2 linked regions of the Lonchura striata genome follow. The protein of the gene in region 1 interacts with the protein of each later gene in a pairwise test. Links are inferred from orthologs where the notes say so. Each region holds a gene or a part of one and is shown on either strand. Other genes may lie near its edges. The genes, in order: LSMEM2 and LSMEM1.

What was found.
Region 2: the proteins of LSMEM2 (region 1) and LSMEM1 interact in binary tests that used the Homo sapiens proteins (3 or more experiments, as listed by UniProt). The two-hybrid records come from large-scale screens. The link is inferred for Lonchura striata from reciprocal best matches to the Homo sapiens genes LSMEM2 and LSMEM1.

The regions. Positions count from the first base shown.
Region 1 is NC_134614.1:10,327,735-10,335,529, reverse strand, and holds LSMEM2 (leucine-rich single-pass membrane protein 2), read left to right. Parts: upstream 1-4,863; coding exon 4,864-4,885; intron 4,886-6,073; coding exon 6,074-6,214; intron 6,215-6,294; coding exon 6,295-6,504; intron 6,505-6,589; coding exon 6,590-6,726; 3' UTR 6,727-7,041; downstream 7,042-7,795. Other genes in the region: HYAL3 (hyaluronidase-3), read left to right, coding at 2,779-3,675, 3,773-3,862, 3,993-4,346; IFRD2 (interferon-related developmental regulator 2), read right to left, coding at 7,686-7,766.
Region 2 is NC_134607.1:36,457,787-36,465,811, reverse strand, and holds the start of LSMEM1 (leucine-rich single-pass membrane protein 1), read left to right. Parts: upstream 1-5,023; 5' UTR 5,024-5,155; intron 5,156-7,505; 5' UTR 7,506-7,510; coding exon 7,511-7,637; intron 7,638-8,025. Other genes in the region: IFRD1 (interferon-related developmental regulator 1), read left to right, coding at 363-491, 1,464-1,559, 2,303-2,392.

The sequences.
Region 1 (7,795 bases):
GCAGGGTGAGGTGTGAGCAGGGCGGGTGTGAACAGTGACTGAGCAGGGTGACTGTGGGCAGGGTGAGTGCAGACAGGATGGGTGGGTGAAGGCAGGGCGAGTGCAGGCAGGTGGATGGCAGGCAGATGCTGTTGGAGTCTGGCGTGGCTTTGCTGGGCAGACAGAAGGAAACCATCAGGAGTGCTGGTGGGATGTGGCCTCTGAAAGGGACAGTGCCGGCTGAGCTGTGAGTCAGTTGTCTTGGAGCTAGGGGGGTGACCCCACCATGCCTCCTGGGTGTGGGAGGGCAGACTCGAGCCCTCCCCAACTGCCTTAGGGGAACTGTAGCAGTTTGCTCAATCCTAGTTAATCAACCGGCGTGGTGGTTTCTCCTGCCTTCTGCCTGTGGCTTCTCCTTTGCAATAAGAACTGCCAGGCTGAGAGAGGGGGTTTTCTGACCCCTCAGAGGCTATTTGGGTTTCTCAGAAGCATGACTCTGAGGACATGTGTGATGAGCTAGCTAGTCTGATGGGTGCCAAAGTGGCAGGAGCTACTGGCAGGGGCTGGGGAGGAGGCACTGTGCCTCCTGCCCCTCAGCTGATTTGGCAGTGTAGACCTTTCTGCAGGTCTCATGGCATGATTTCCTGGAGCTGGCACCATCTGCCATTTCCCTGCCATGAATCTCTTGTTTGACCTTGGACCTGCCAAACCTCCATGAACTCATCTGGCTGTGCCAGAGGGGAACTGCGCCTGTGCTGGGGCCAGTGGCGGGCTGGGGAGAACACACGCATGGTCTGTGCCTTACTACCTCTAAGCTGTGACCTGCTTGGTTTCCCGTCAGTGAGAAGAATGGGTTCTGTGTCAGAGGAGCTCAGCTTGGTCCCCTTGCACCAGAGGCCGGAGCTGCTGGAAGCCTGTGCCAAGCTGCTGGGCGAGGAGTGGGGGAAGAGCCGGGCGTCGCGGCTCCACACGCTCCAGCGCTCCTCGGACGCCTTCCCCACCTGCCTGCTGCTGCTGCGGAGCCGGGCCCCCAGCGAGACCCCCGCCGCCCGGGAGGGGCCCTGCGAGCTCGTGGGCCACGTCCGACTCTCCCGCGTGGTCAGCCGTCCCCACGACCTCTTCGTGGAGAGCGTGGTGGTGGCCCGGGCGCTGCGGGGCCAGGGCTATGGGCGGCGGCTGATGGAGGCCACTGAGCAGTGGGCCCGGAACCGGGGCTTTCGCTGCCTGCACCTCACCACCCACGACAAGCAGCATTTCTATGCCCACCTGGGCTTTGTCCTGGGTGAGCCGGTGCAGAACGTGGCCTTTCTCAGCCCGGCTATATCCTCTGAGGTGCTGCGGCTCTTCTCTGCCCCTTCTGGGGCTGCCACTGCCCCCTCCAGCAGGCCATGGGTACCCGCTGCCCCCCCACCTCCCCCGCCGCCCCTCACTGTCCCCCCACCGCCTCCCCCACCGACTGTGATCTGGGCGAGGGGTGTCCTGGCTGAGAGCAGCGAGCAGAGCCTCCTGGAATCCCCACACCGCGATGCCAAAGGGCTCCCCATCTTCTGGATGAAGAAGGACATCTGAGGGTCTGGGGCCCCGAGCCGGTGATTAAAAGCAGTGCGGGCGGGAGGTGCCCGCCGCAGCGCTGCCTGACTGCCTGCCATTCTTCAGGGCTGGCACCAGCTCCCCCAGTCTACATGGTTCACCCTGGCCCCATTGTTGGGGCAGGGGGGTACTGGCAGGGAATGAGCAGAGTTCCCATACCCTGTCCTACTTGGGCATGCTGCCTCTGCTCCTGCCTGGCCTCCAGCTCACCTGGCTGGGGCTCTGGGACCACCAGCATGGTGGGGAGCCGGCCCACCCCAGGCTGTGGGGATGGCACTAGTCCTCAGGAGCACCGCCCAGTCCCACCAGTGTCTCCTCTACTCAGGATTTGCTGTGTGTCACCTGGGGCTGATGGAACGTGGTGGCCTCCAACATGCCCACAGCTGCTCTCACTGAGCAGTCTGGGGAAACTGAGGCACAGGATGGCTGGGGGGGCACTGTGGGAGTAGGGCATGGTGGTGGGGCTGCAGAATCAAGTCCCCTGCACTGCACAGTGAAGGGGGCAGGTGGCCAAACCCCCACTAAGGCACCGGCGTCAGTGAAGGCCAGAGGCATGGGAGCAGGAAGGTCAGAGAGAGCGTCCAGTCTCACAGTGAGGGATTAGCACTGTCCTTGCTGTATCACGCGGCCCTGGGCCTGTTCCCTGCCTAATCCCCTCATTCTGGGCAGTGGGCCAGTACTGGGCAGGGGCTCCAGACCCCTCTGGGCCTGCCTGGGCTGTGAGGGACAGAGCTGCCCCTTTGGCCCCACCATGCCTCTTCGGGGGGACTCAATCCTTCAGCAGGTCACCCAGCCTGGCTCAGCACTGTGCTGAAGTGGGGACCAGGGAGTCTTGGTGCCTCCACTACAGGCAGGACTGGGAGGCAGCAGGGAAATTGAGGCACCAGGGTCAGTGGCATGCAGTGCCACTCCCGAGCTGTGCCATGGCTGTGGTGGTGCAAGCAGGATCTCAGCACCAGAGAGCAGCAGGCAGAGGTAACAGTGGCAGTGCTGAGGCAGTAGGGGTCTCAATCCCCCAAGTGTACCCAATTCTGTCAGGTTTTGGGGTGGGCAGCATGTGCTTGCAGGACAGCCCAGCCAATCCTAGTCCACCATGTGCCAGGGGGGCAGTGCCTGCATTGCTGGAATGCCCACTGCATCCCACAGCCTCACCCCATGGCTCTCCTTTCCTCACAGGGTGCCGGCCCCGCAAACAACTGGTGAGGCGGGATGGTGCTGGTGCTGGCGCTGTGGTCCTGCCTGGCACTGGGCACAGCCAGTGAGGAGAGCCCGGCACCCAAGCCCCTGGCAGGTGGCCAGCCCTTTGCCGTGGTGTGGAACGTCCCCACCGGGCGCTGCCAGCACCGCTTTGGCATAGGGCTGCCCCTCAGCGACTACGGCATCGTGGAGAACCAGGGTGGCCACTTTGCTGGCCAGAACATCACCATCTTCTACAAGAACAAGTTTGGGCTGTACCCCTACCTGTCACAGCACGGTGTGCCCCATAACGGGGGCCTCCCTCAGCGTGTCTCCCTCGACGCCCACATCAACAGGGTGGCCGAGGACATCCGCCTCCTCCTGCGACCCGCTTTCCATGGCTTGGCCGTGGTGGACTGGGAGGAGTGGAGCCCTCTGTGGGCACAAAACTGGGGAGCCAAAAAGATGTACCGGACAGCCTCAGAGCAGTGGGTGCGGGACCAGTACGGCGTGCTGCCGGCACGGCAGCAGCTCCGACTGGCCCAGCTGGAGTTCGAGCAGGCGGCACAGGCTCTGATGGAGGAGACGCTTCTGGTGGGCCGAGCCCTGCGCCCTGGAGGGCTCTGGGGTTTCTACCGCTTTCCCGACTGCCTCAACAGCAACTGGGCCAAGGTGGCAAACTACACCGGGCAGTGCCAGCCGGCGGAGGTGCAGCGTAACAACCACCTGGGCTGGCTCTGGGCTGCCTCTTCTGCCCTCTACCCCAGCATCTACCTGCCGCTGGCGCTGCCGCCCGCCCTGCGCCGCCGCTACGTGCACCACCGGCTGCGCGAGGCCCTGCGCGTGGCCGCCTTCGGGCCCGACGGCCTCCTGCCCGTGGTCGCCTACTCGCGCCTCGCCTTCCGCCGCTCCTCCCGGTTCCTGCACCTGGTAAGCGCTGTGGGGCCGCGGCTGCGATGCGGGGTTCTGGGTGGCACGGGGACAGAGGCTGTGTCCCCCAGACGGGTCACGTCTCTGTTCCTGGCAGGCTGACCTGGTGCACACCATCGGGGAGAGCGCGGCACTGGGAGCGGCCGGGCTGGTGCTCTGGGGAGACATGTCGTACTCCCGCTCAGCTGTGAGTATGGCAGCACTGCAGGCAGCAGGAGATGGTGTGTGTACAGGGTGGCCATATCCCCCGTGCCCACCAGGGAGGGCTGGCCAGGTCTCTGTTGCTGGGGGGCTTCTCACTCATGCTTCCTCCCCAGGAAAGCTGTGCCAGCCTGCGCCACTACCTCGTATCCACTCTGGGTCCCTACGTGGCCAACGTGACGGCAGCAGCCCGAGAATGCAGCTACGGGCAGTGCCATGGACACGGGCGCTGCGTGCGCCGGCAGCCCCACGACCTGGGCAGCCTCCTGCACCTTGGCCCCGGTGCCGGCCCACGGGCTGCCTTCCGCTGCCACTGCTACCGTGGCTGGGCAGGTGAAGACTGTGCCCAGCGGGTATGGCACAGCCCTGCCACCTCCTGCCAGGTGCCCATCCACGCTCACAGCCTCTATGGGCACAAGGATCCCACATCCTCTGACACCTGCCTGCCACAGGGCACGTGGGGCTGGTGACAAAGGCCAGGGACCGCCATGGTCCCCTACTCCAGCAGTGCTGCTGCTGGCTTTCCCTATGGTCTCATTAACCTAAATAAATTCTCCTGGCACAGCGGGCATGGTTTTTGTGTGCAAAGCTGAAGGATTCTGTGGTGTCCCTATGCAGGGCACAATTGCCATTGCTGCTGAGAGACAGCACAGACCCCAGTTTGGCTCTGGATGGGGCCAGCAGTGCATCAGCTTTCCTGCATGGGCTCTGCCCTGATCCCATGAGCTGGCAGCCCCTTTACTCTGGGAAAGGGGACGTGGGGCACTGCCACAACCTGCTGTCCCTTTGCCACTGGCACCGTGCTGCCAGCAGCCCTGACCACGCCACCAGGCCCCCCTCCCCATAGCTATTTTTATCGCCCCCCAACCGTGTTTCTCACTGTCCTATTTTAAGCAGCGCAGTTGGCGCAGCGGGAACCCAGTGCCCAGCTCCTGGGGGCCCTGCACCACCTCACTGCCCGCTCACACTGCCCAGGCACGGGGAGCCATGCCCAGGGAGGCTGCAGAAGGTACACTGGGGAGTGGGCTTGGGGCTGGTGGTGGCTCTAGCACCCCAGGGGATACCAGGTGATGCAAGGCTTTGGGGTTGGGATGGAAGTAGTGGACAGATGGTGCCCTCTGCCATGGGGTCTGTGGGCAGAGATGCCTGCCCAGGGAAGAAGGGGGTCCTGGAAGGCTGCAGGTGTAGGGCAGCAGGGTTTGGGAGGGCACTGGCAGCTGGCACGTACAGACCCCTGCGCCAAACCTATGTGACCAGCTGTGCCCCCCCACCTAGGGCAAGTGGGTGCAGGGGGTGATGTGGGTACCTGTGGAGCAGTCCCTGGCCAAAGGTAGGGGTGTGGGGAAGGTCTGAGGGGTCTGAGGGGACCCTGGGTACCAGCTGAGGCCCCCAGCCCTGGTGCCTGCCAGCCCTGTGGGTGACACACAGTCTGGACAGCAGCAGCACGGCGCCACGCTGCCCTGCGACATGCCACTGACCCCGGGAGGGATTGGGAGTGGGCACAGTGCCAGCCTGCCATGCTCTGCCAAGGGCACAGTGCGTGGGCCCTGCCCACTGCTCAAAAATACACAAACACCTAGAAAATAATCTTTTCCCTCAAACCCAATGCAGGCATGGTTGCTTCCCAAAACAGTGCTGGAGCATGCCTACTTCCAAAAAGCCCTCCCAGTCCCATGTGACGTGCTCACTAGGGCAATGGGCACTAGGGCCCCCTGGCACAGCATACACCCCACATCTACATCTGTGCACCCCCAAGCAGCATGGTATCTGCAGGGCAAGCTGGGCCACACCACAAACTGGCACTGCTCTGCACCTGCCCACCAGCTTCCAGCTGGCCCTTGGAGCCCCAGTCAGTCCCACAGTGCCTGGGCTATCCCGGCTGGGGGGTGGCACATTCCTGCCCCCAAGCCAGGGCCAGATTCCAGCCCCACTAACAAGGCTCCGGGATCGTGGCCACCAGGCACCCGCTAACTGCTCTGATGACAGCAGTGGGGCCAGGGGGGGCACAGCCAGCGCTTGCCCACTGTGGCTGCAGGGCTGGCCCAAAGGAACACCAGTCTTGGCTGCCTGCCCTGGTGCAGCACCAGGCTGCCAAGGCTGACATCCCCCTGGCAGGGCTCTGGTGCCACAGGGGTGCCCAGGGCAGGCAGGGGCTGTGGGCAGGGCACAGGCTGACCCTTTGCCTCTGTTCCAGCAGACGGCGTGGGAAGGGCTGAGGGTGCTGCGCCGGCAGAGCCTGGGGACCCCGACAGCAGTGAGTCCGGAGCCATCAGCCTGCGCCCCGTGGAGTCCATCAGCGACCTGTACTGGGCCTCGGGCGGGCACAAGGGCACAGAGGGTGAGAGCACTGCAGGGGGCTGTGCAAGACCCAGCTGTGCCTGTGGCCAGGCTCTGACCCCTTCTCTCCCCTGCCTGCAGGCAATGGCCCGGCTCCCTCCAGCAGCCTGCACCGGCCTCCACCTCGGCCCGTGTCACCTGTGTCCCCGCCGCTCCTGCCCACCCTGCGCCCCGTGCCCCCCGCCAGCCCCTGCCCTTGCCTCGGCCCTGGCCACCCCCTGCTGCTGGCCCTGCTGGCGCTCCTGGCACTGTCAAGCCTGATCCTGGCCACACTGGCCATCTACCTGAGCGGTACGTGGCACTGGCAGGGTGGGGAGATGGGGCATTGTGGGGGCCCGACCTGCCACCTCAGCACGCTGCCATCCTCTCCCCGCAGTCCTGCAGAGCCAGTCGGTGCGGGCGCTGGCCCAGTGGCTCGAGAGCCAGGAGGACGCCGTGCACCAGCTGCGGGCAGCCAGCAGGCAGCTCTGGGCTCGCCTCAACACCAGCGCCCAGCCTGGCGGGCACCGCTGAGCTGCTCCTGCTCCCACCATGGGCTCTGGGCCGCCACGGGAAGGGGCACCGAAGGGCAGGAGGGGGGAGCAGGCAGCTTTACCCACAGAGACTTGGCAGCATTGCCCCTTGGGGCACAGGGGCAATCCTGGACCCTGTCCCACAATGCCAGAGAAAGAAACTGGGCTGTAAGGACCTGCATCCGCCCCAGTGACAGCCCTTCCTCTTAACAAGGCAGAAGGCATACTTTATTTAGCCTTTTAATTACCTCTTACAATCAAAGTCTTAGAAAATCACCATGATAGATACATTCCCAGGGTGGCAGGCACTGCCAACTGGCATGGCCCCATGCCCGCCTGGGCAGTGGCCCCCCCCATAATTAATTTCCCACAAGATTACTATTTCATATAAAGCATTTGGCTGGAAAAGGGCTGAGAGTGGGCAGCTGGCAGGACTGGGCAGAGCTTCCCACTCCACAGTGCTGTCACCATCACGATGCCAGGCTGGCTAGGGAGGTAGGGGCTGTACCCAGCATGGCAAGGTGGGGAGAATGCTCCTGCCACAGCACAGACACCAGGACCAGCTACTCTGCTGCCCTGCACAGCTCTGCCCTCCCACCCACCCTTCAGACTGTGCCAGGCCACCCTGGTGCCGCTGCAGGACTGGGGAGGGTGCACACGAGCCCTGCCTCTGAAAGGATCTGCAGAAGCTTGGGTGAGACCCCCTCCCACTGTGCCACATGGATCCCCAGCCACAGAGCAGGCACACGGCATCACGCCACCACCTCCCCCTGCTCTTCTTTTATCCTTCCTATTTTTTGGTTAAAAAAATAAAAGAGGGGGCAGCCCCTCCTTGGGGCAGCTCCAGGCATTAAATACTCTGCTGTACAAGAATAAAAGCCCGAGGGCTGGGGGCACCTGCCCCTCACAGTGCTGGGTCTGCAGTCCAGGTGGGCTGGGGGCTCTGCCCCCCTCTGCCCATCACAGCACATCTGCCCGCTTGTCCCGCACGCGGCTCCGGGCTTTCGTGCGGGCTTTGAAGGCAGCTGAGTTGTAGAGGTGCTGGAAGGAGAGGGAAGGAGAGATTAGGG
Region 2 (8,025 bases), on another chromosome or scaffold:
AGGTAGAGACTAAATGAGGCTTACAGTCTGACTTAAAGGTGACTTCTGCACTCAGAACTGGTTTTCCTGAAGATAAATCCAGTTCTTAAAGTAATTTTAAAGATGAAAGTTGACTGTTTTTTAAAAAGCTTTGTAATCATGAAGAATATCAGCTTCAAGTTCTATGTGAAATTTGACTGTAAGTATGCATCTGCTCTATGAACAAATACAATCTTTAGCATATGTATACTTTGTTATTTGGAAGGTTTTGGTGTGCCAAATTTATCAGTCAAAATAAAGTTCATTGAGATGTTTAAAATTACTAGTACAAAAGACTATTTAAATTGAAGTTACAGGTGTTGTTTCCTTTGATTCTTGCATAGGAGCGTGACTTCCCTACAGAGATGGTGAAGTTTGGACCTGAGCGCATGTATATTGACTGCTGGGTTAAAAAACAAACTTATGAGACGTTCAAGGAGGTTCTGGGGTCGGGGATGCAATACCATTTGCAGGTGAGTTGCTTTTTGACATTTGCTCAGACTGTTCCTCTGTGTCTGGCTTCTTTGATGTAATCCAGTCTGAATTACAAAATCCTGACTCGAACTTAGTGAAGTGATGAGCCTTGCATTTAAGGTGTTAAAGACAGCACTTAAAAAATTAATGACAGTGAGCTGCAGCTGTCTGGGTAAGCTGCTTCTGAGTTGTAGCCTGGGTGTGCTAGTGTACTAATTGATTTCTCCATAAGAAATTTGAGTATCTTTTTAGCTTTGGGGTTTTCCCTGAATCCTTTGCTCTCTTTCAGCAGAGTGGTATAGTTGTCTGGCTGCTATAAAGCTGCTTACCTCCACCCTTCCTGTTCAGGCCTGTAAAAGAAAGGGAAAGTTTTAGTAAAAAATAATGAACACAACCCAATGGTGACAGCATTCCAGAGGAGGCAGAATGCATCTTCCTCTGTTGTGGGAAATGCTTGTTTACTGGTCTTCTCTTTACATGTGTAACAGAAGCAGGAGCTGTAGTTTAGGAATATATGCTCCCAAATTGCTGTGATAATCATGGGGTTAAAATCTTCAGCCCTGTGTTAATTCAATTTCTGTGTGACTGAGGGAGCTCAGGCATGTAGCAGGTTTTTCAGTTTTCTCAAGTACTACTTTCACAGCCAGATATTTTAAAACTGGTGTGTTGTGAAACCATACAGGTCTGTTCAGCTGCCTGATTTTGTGTAGAACAGAACAGTGTCTCATTTGCTGGGTCAAAAATATCAAAGGAGGCATGAGGAGCTGTCTATCTTCTCAAGGTGTCTGTTTTCGCTTTTAGCCCTATTCTAGTTAAAGGAGGACATGTTCTTGACTTACTTGCAAAAGATAGCAGCAATTTGACACAAATCTTGGTATTTTTTACTGGAATACTTGATATTTTACAGTAGTCAACTTTAGAGACTTGATAATTAGAGGGGAAACTAATAATTTGGTGTGTTTCTTGTTTAGTCAAATGACTTTCTTCGGAATGTGTTTGAGCTTGGTCCACCAGTAATGCTGGATGCTGCAACTCTTAAAACAATGAAGATATCCCGTTTTGAAAGGGTAGGTTATTGCATCTTAATGAATTTTCTTTACTTCATGTCTAATTACTCCTGCCTTTCAGAAGCTGTCATTGTTGCGCTGTAGTTCTAAGAGTTCCTCATATTGTCCTGAGTGAAACCAAGCTTTTTTTGTATGCACCTATGAGCTCTTAGATTTTTCAGTGGGCATGTCTCTGCTTGTGTGTTTTTTCCAAGGGTTGCTGAAGGTTGATGTGGTTGCTGCTGGGTACTAGATTCATGCACCACACATATGAAACTTGGTCTCTTCTGAGAGCTCTTGGGGAGGGACCTACAGGAAACTGAGTCTTTATAAAGATGGTATCCCAAACTCTGTAATGTGAAATGGGCACTAGGAGGTTGGCCTTGTTCTGTTGATTGTGAATGCATTAATCCTGCATATAATCTGGGGAATGGTGCTGTCAAATTTAATCTGGGAGTAAATGTAACCTACATGGTATCTGCTTGATCTTAAAGACTGGCTTCCAGAACTACTCATAGTTCAGCCTTTCTTATTCAGGCCAGTATCTGTAAATATAAATTAAATATGTCTGTCCATATTTATATACACACACACAAATTAGCCTTTGGTGGAAAGATAACATACCATAAATTTCAGAAGACCTACCAGTTCAAGTCAAATTAATGAAAGGGTATTTTCATTTGTTTTGTAACATGAAAAATCTCTGAAGGGCATAAGCTTTATGATAATATGTAATTCTTTTTTCTTTTTTTTTTGTTTTGTAGCACTTGTACAACTCTGCAGCATTCAAGGCTCGGACAAAGGCTAGAAGTAAATGTCGTGATAAAAGAGCAGATGTGGGGGAATTTTTTTAGATTCCCTCTTCATTGGGTTTCAATTTTCATAATTCAAATAAATTTGTAACATTTAAATGAATTTTTTTAACTTCTGTAGTCAGTTTGTAGTTGTGCACGGGTTTGTTACATAGTCTCTAAATATAACGCATATTGTTGCTTAGGTGCGTGTACATTGTATATAGATGGATGTAACATTTGGTGCAGGGATACATTATAATACCATACATTAGCCCCCCACTAGCTCAAAGGTCGATTATGTTGTAACTGCTATATTAAATGGGGTGGATAACTGTAGTCAAATGCTGTGTGTCAGATTGGATTCTTTATATAAAGGTAAAGTAATTCATTGACCAAGTGTTCTGGTAAGAATGTGCTAATAGGATAAGATGACCATGTTTCTGTGAAGTTTATTTTAGTAATTTTTTAAAACTCTCTGATGGTAGACAAGAAATCCCTATGTAAGTGTAATTTTATCCTGACAGGGACTATGAAGTTCAGGAACTTCCACTGACAGTGAAGTAGTGAATGACAAATATTTGTCTCCATGTAAAATAAAAGCAAGATTTTTGTGTTCTGAAATTGAATATTTAATTTTTGGAATAAAGATGTTTCTCACTGCCTGCTCTCTGTGTAAAAGTAATTATTCCATGAATGAAAAGCAGTAACACTGGCAAAACTTAAAATATGAAAGGGATGAGTTTGTTTATTTTCTGGTTCAGACATGTGTTTGGGGTATTATCTGTTTTAGTAGATGCCATGTGCAAGTCTACCTTGCTGTGTTTCAAAGGTGTCTTCTTCTTGCATGTGGTCTGCACAGCTGCCTAATCTTGATTTGTCATTGCTTCTCTAATGGTCAAAAGCTTTCTAGTTTTGGTGCTGTAAAACATATTCTCCTTTATTTTAGACCCATTCCCTGTGTTCATTATGTTGGGAACTACTCTTCTGGTTCTACAGGACTGAAATGTGTTAGTAGCTGAGAACTGTCTTAGCTACTTGGGGCAGGGGGTGTTATGTAATAAAGACACTAAAACCTATATCAGTGGAGCTTCTGAACCTGAAGAAAAAAGTGCTTGTTTGAATAAACCACCTTAAAAATGTTTGTCACCAGATGATGTAAACATGGCATTAAAAACAGCACCGCCCCCTGAAAACTGGCCTGCTCTGATAAGAGAAAGTTGGGTTTGGGGTGGAGTAGTTGTTTTGGTTTTTTTTTCCCCTCCAAGTTTCTGATTACAGCTGAACCTATTCCAGAAAGTCAATGAATACTAGTAAGTTGTACTTTCTAATTTAATCTCTTTTTTTTTTACCCCTCAAATAATCTATGTAAGAACTTGTTTGGCTTGCAAAACAGATCATTTGGACTATGCAAAACCTTGAACTGAAATCTATGATGATTGAGCACATCAGTGTCATGCAGGTGGAGAAAAAACATCCTTGAATGAGGTGAAGCTGTGTGTGCCTGTACTTGCCTGGCCCAAGGCCATTCCCTTGGAGCTAAACTGTTCCCTTGAGCCTGTTGGTGTCTCCTGTGCCTTCTGCCTGGTCACCTTTGGTGTCCTTTGCCAAGCACAGGCTTCATGTCCAGTGTTCTGCAGCACCCCCTGGCAGGGCCAAGCAGGTGGTTGCCCTTTTCCCTGTACACTGTAACTGCCAGCTGCAGTGACCTGTGTGGCTTCTAGTCCTGTTGCAGAGGTGGCTCTTCTGCAGCCCTGCAGACATCCCTTGGGTTTGCAGATGTTTTCAACTGGAGAGGCCTGGGTCCTTGTCTTAAAATTATTTTGGTGTTAGGAGTTTTTTGGGCATGGATATCATACTGATTTTTTTTTTTTTTTCTAGCTTGTACATCCTTATTTTGATGGAGGACTTCCAGGAGACTCCTACAGAAAGGGAGCAATTCTGAGCAGCAGAACATGTCAGCTTAGGGTGGGAAATATGAGTCAGGTGATTTATTCTCTTGTTTCCTGAGAAAGAAATACGTTTATGGGCAATTTAAAGGGATTCAGAATTTTAGATGTGGTATAGCTTCAGAAAGGATTTGTGGTTTTGAGCTGCAGTCCTGCCTGTCAGCTGCCTATCAATACAGTGTGCTGTAACACTGCCTTCTGCCATGTCAGCAAGTAAAAAAAAGATCGAAAGAACTGTCAGCAAAGGAGTAATTACGCTACTCACCACCAGTTCATCAGAATTTAATCTTTGAACAGCTAAGGATGCCAGACAAATTAGTCCACCACATAATACTGTCCCACTTGAATTCATAAAGTGTATGGGAGAACGGGAACAACCCTGCTTTTTCTAGTCTATGACTTTAAAACCCTCATGACTGCAATACTGTAGATATGACTCTTCTGCATAGCAAACTGGTTACTCATGGCTACAGTTGTAGATACTACTCTTCTGCCTAGCAAATGCATTTTAGACAAGCACTAAACCTAAGAGGTTTGGCACTAACCAAAAGATTAGTGAAATACTGATCATCAGTAACAACCCTCATTATTCATGATGGAATATTATCATGATTCCAATATAATAAAGAAGAGCTGTGTATGTGCTGATTTCTGTTTTAGCAGATCAATATTACAAAGTGAGTATACTTAGCCAAGATGAATTCTAAATATAGACTGAGAGGGGCAGTCTGTTTCACAGCTATCTTTATGGGTACTGCAGGACTTGACAGGCTCCTATGGGACTAAAAGTAGAGGAACTGCAGAACAAGTTTTCTTCATGTGATTTTCACTGGCTGATTTCTTCCATACTGGCACATTACTTGAATGTAATTATGTTGTAAGTTATGTTTCATTCTCATATTTTTTAACCTTTTATATTTCATTTACTTTTTTTTTTTTTTCCTGTGAAGAATTTTCAATGTGTTCTTATTCTAAGTTTTTTTTTTTTTTCCACAATGACTTAGGATGAAATTTAAAAGTTGCATTGGGGAAAAAAGTCTTTAGGTAAGGTTAAAGTACAAGATAAACTGAATCCAAAGGTCCCAATGTTTATATTGCTTTGTTGGGAAAATAATCAATACTTTTGTCCAGTGACACATGTTTGTATCCTTTCTCCTTTGGCATGTCAATAGAATCAAACAAATGTAATATAAACTATTTTGAATTAATAATGGTAATCTTCACTGTGTTTACATGTGCAAATAAATAATAAGTGCAGAAACATAGAATTCATAATACTAATGAATCAAAGGTACTCACATTTATTGCAGCTCAAGTAGTTAAGAAGTGTTCCCTGAAGCTGCAGGGAGGTGTTAATCAAAACAGAGAAACAACTGCTCTTCTGAATCTAAAAATAACCAACAGCCTTTGTGCATGAAGCGGTTACTTTTGGCATGCAGTTCAAACACAGGGCTCCACAGTGACTGTGTTGCCTGAGGATGTGCATGTGGGGAGACAGCAGAGCAGAGCCAGCTCTGGTGGGACGTGGCTCACAGACTGGGCTGCCTAGTGCTATGTCCTGCTCTAAGGGAAGGACCGTGGGCACAACTATCTGTCCTGAAGTTCCTGTTGCACACCTAAAAATCACAGACTAGGTAAGGTTAACCCCTGTCATGCCAGCTTTTCTACATTTTCTTTGTACTTTGAAGCAATGCTTCTGAACAGAGAAAAAAGTAAGTTGTAATCTTTTCTTATGGGCTGTTAAAAAGAAATATTTAAGTATCCATATAGTCTTGCCAGTCTCTACTAGCAGGAGAACAAGCCTTGTTGTCAGTATTGCTTTCAGTGCTTAGTCTTCAGACTTACTGAGGTTGATTGAATGTCTGCTTTGCAGTGTGCTCAGATCTGGGGGAAATATAGTGATCTTCTGCATTTGGTTTGATGAGGGAAGGAGTGAGGATTTTCTGCAAACGGTTCAAATTTTAGGTTTTTAATTTTAGTGTTTTATTAGGAATCTGGTCACACTGTGTTCTGTATTCCTTGGAGAGGAAGAAAAGGCTCAGAAGCATGTCATGTCAAGAGGACAGTTAACCCATCTAGGATTCAAAAATCACCCTTAGGTGCTTAACACGTCATCAAGGGAGGTTTGCATCCCACAAAGTGCTGATTTATGTTGGCAGATAAAATTGAACTTGGGGGCTTTATAAAATACTAAATGGGTAAGATGCATTGTACTCCAAATTTAAACTAATGTGTCAGGGCTCCCTACTTACATTCACTAGCAATAAAAGCACATTTAGGCTGTGATTCTAAGGTGAGAAAGGAATATCTTAGAATAAAAGGGATATTACCTAGAGGAATATTTTTTTCTTCAATAATTACAAGGGGAGTTTTCAGTGACAATTGTAGACAAACATGCCTACTTAGAGTGTCTAAATCTTCTTATGGCTAGAAGTGTAATTTGTTTCTAGAAGATAATTTTGCAATCAGAGCAGTGTAAAGAAAAGCAAAAGACAGGGAACAATGTGCAATATATAGAAGCTGCCTCCCTAGATACTGCTTATTTTCTATATATAATCTTGTTTCAAAACTGTATTTATGTTAAGAATCATTCACTGAGTTCATGCACCCAGACTCTGCAGAGAAACTTTTTACTAATTAAACTTAATCTAGTGCCTTTTTTAAAGCAATGGGTACTAGTCTGAAGAAAAAGCTTTTAAAATTTGTGAAAAGTGTGACCACATTTTTCACAAATAATAGCTTCACAGTGATATTCTAAGGTGTATAAACAGACACATACTCTTGTTGCTTCTGGTTTATCTTCCAATTACTTGATGCTGAAAGAAGAGAACCTGAGTGACATCCTTTCTGGAAGTGTTAGTGAAGGTTTGATTTTCACTGTGGTCAGGATCTCACAACACGTCTTACCAAGTATTCATCAAATCAAAGGATAATATACTAAATATGTACCATTCAAGTCAATGCTGGAGCCAGTCAAATTGACTCTTTCTTTCCCCACACACACACGTATGTGCACAAACACAATGTAAAAATGAAATGTTTTAATCATTGAAGATTTCCAAGAATGAACAAGTGCTATGCCTTCAAGTAAGTGTGCTGGTCCAAATCTCTGTGTTTTAAGGACCGTTTGGGCTGCTCAGTATTTCCTTAGAACAGGATACCTACTGTTACAAGTTATTTCCCACAGCTGTGTGTTAATTTACCTTTTAAATTATTGTTTCTTTTAGAGACAATGGAGAGACCTTCCTTGGAATTTAACCTGCCTGATACTCATGAAGAAGGAAAACTTTATGTAGTTGATTCCCTAAACAACCTAAACAAACTAAATGTTTGCCCAGCTGAATCCCAACTTTCACTAGGTATGTATGATAAGTGATCTGTGGATTTCTAAATATACAATCCATATTGTGTGCCACTGCTGTCAACAGCCTAATAGGCCAACAGGTATGCCAAGCTGTACTGAAAAATATAAGAAAAAAATTGAAAATGGCATGATTTAGGCAGATCAGATAATGATTTAGCTGTCCCTGCTGAGTGTTTCTGCTTTAGGTTCTTGAAAATCCTTGCATTTAGTTAGGGATTTACTTTGAAACCTGAACTTATCTTCCATTTCAGTTGGGATTTATGAGGTGATTTCTTGCAGGATAATGTCTCTAGTAATGCCCAATATACACCAACTAAACAAATAGCATCATAGCTCTTCCCAAGCACTAAAATTCATATGTGGCAATAGAGGCACCTGAGAAT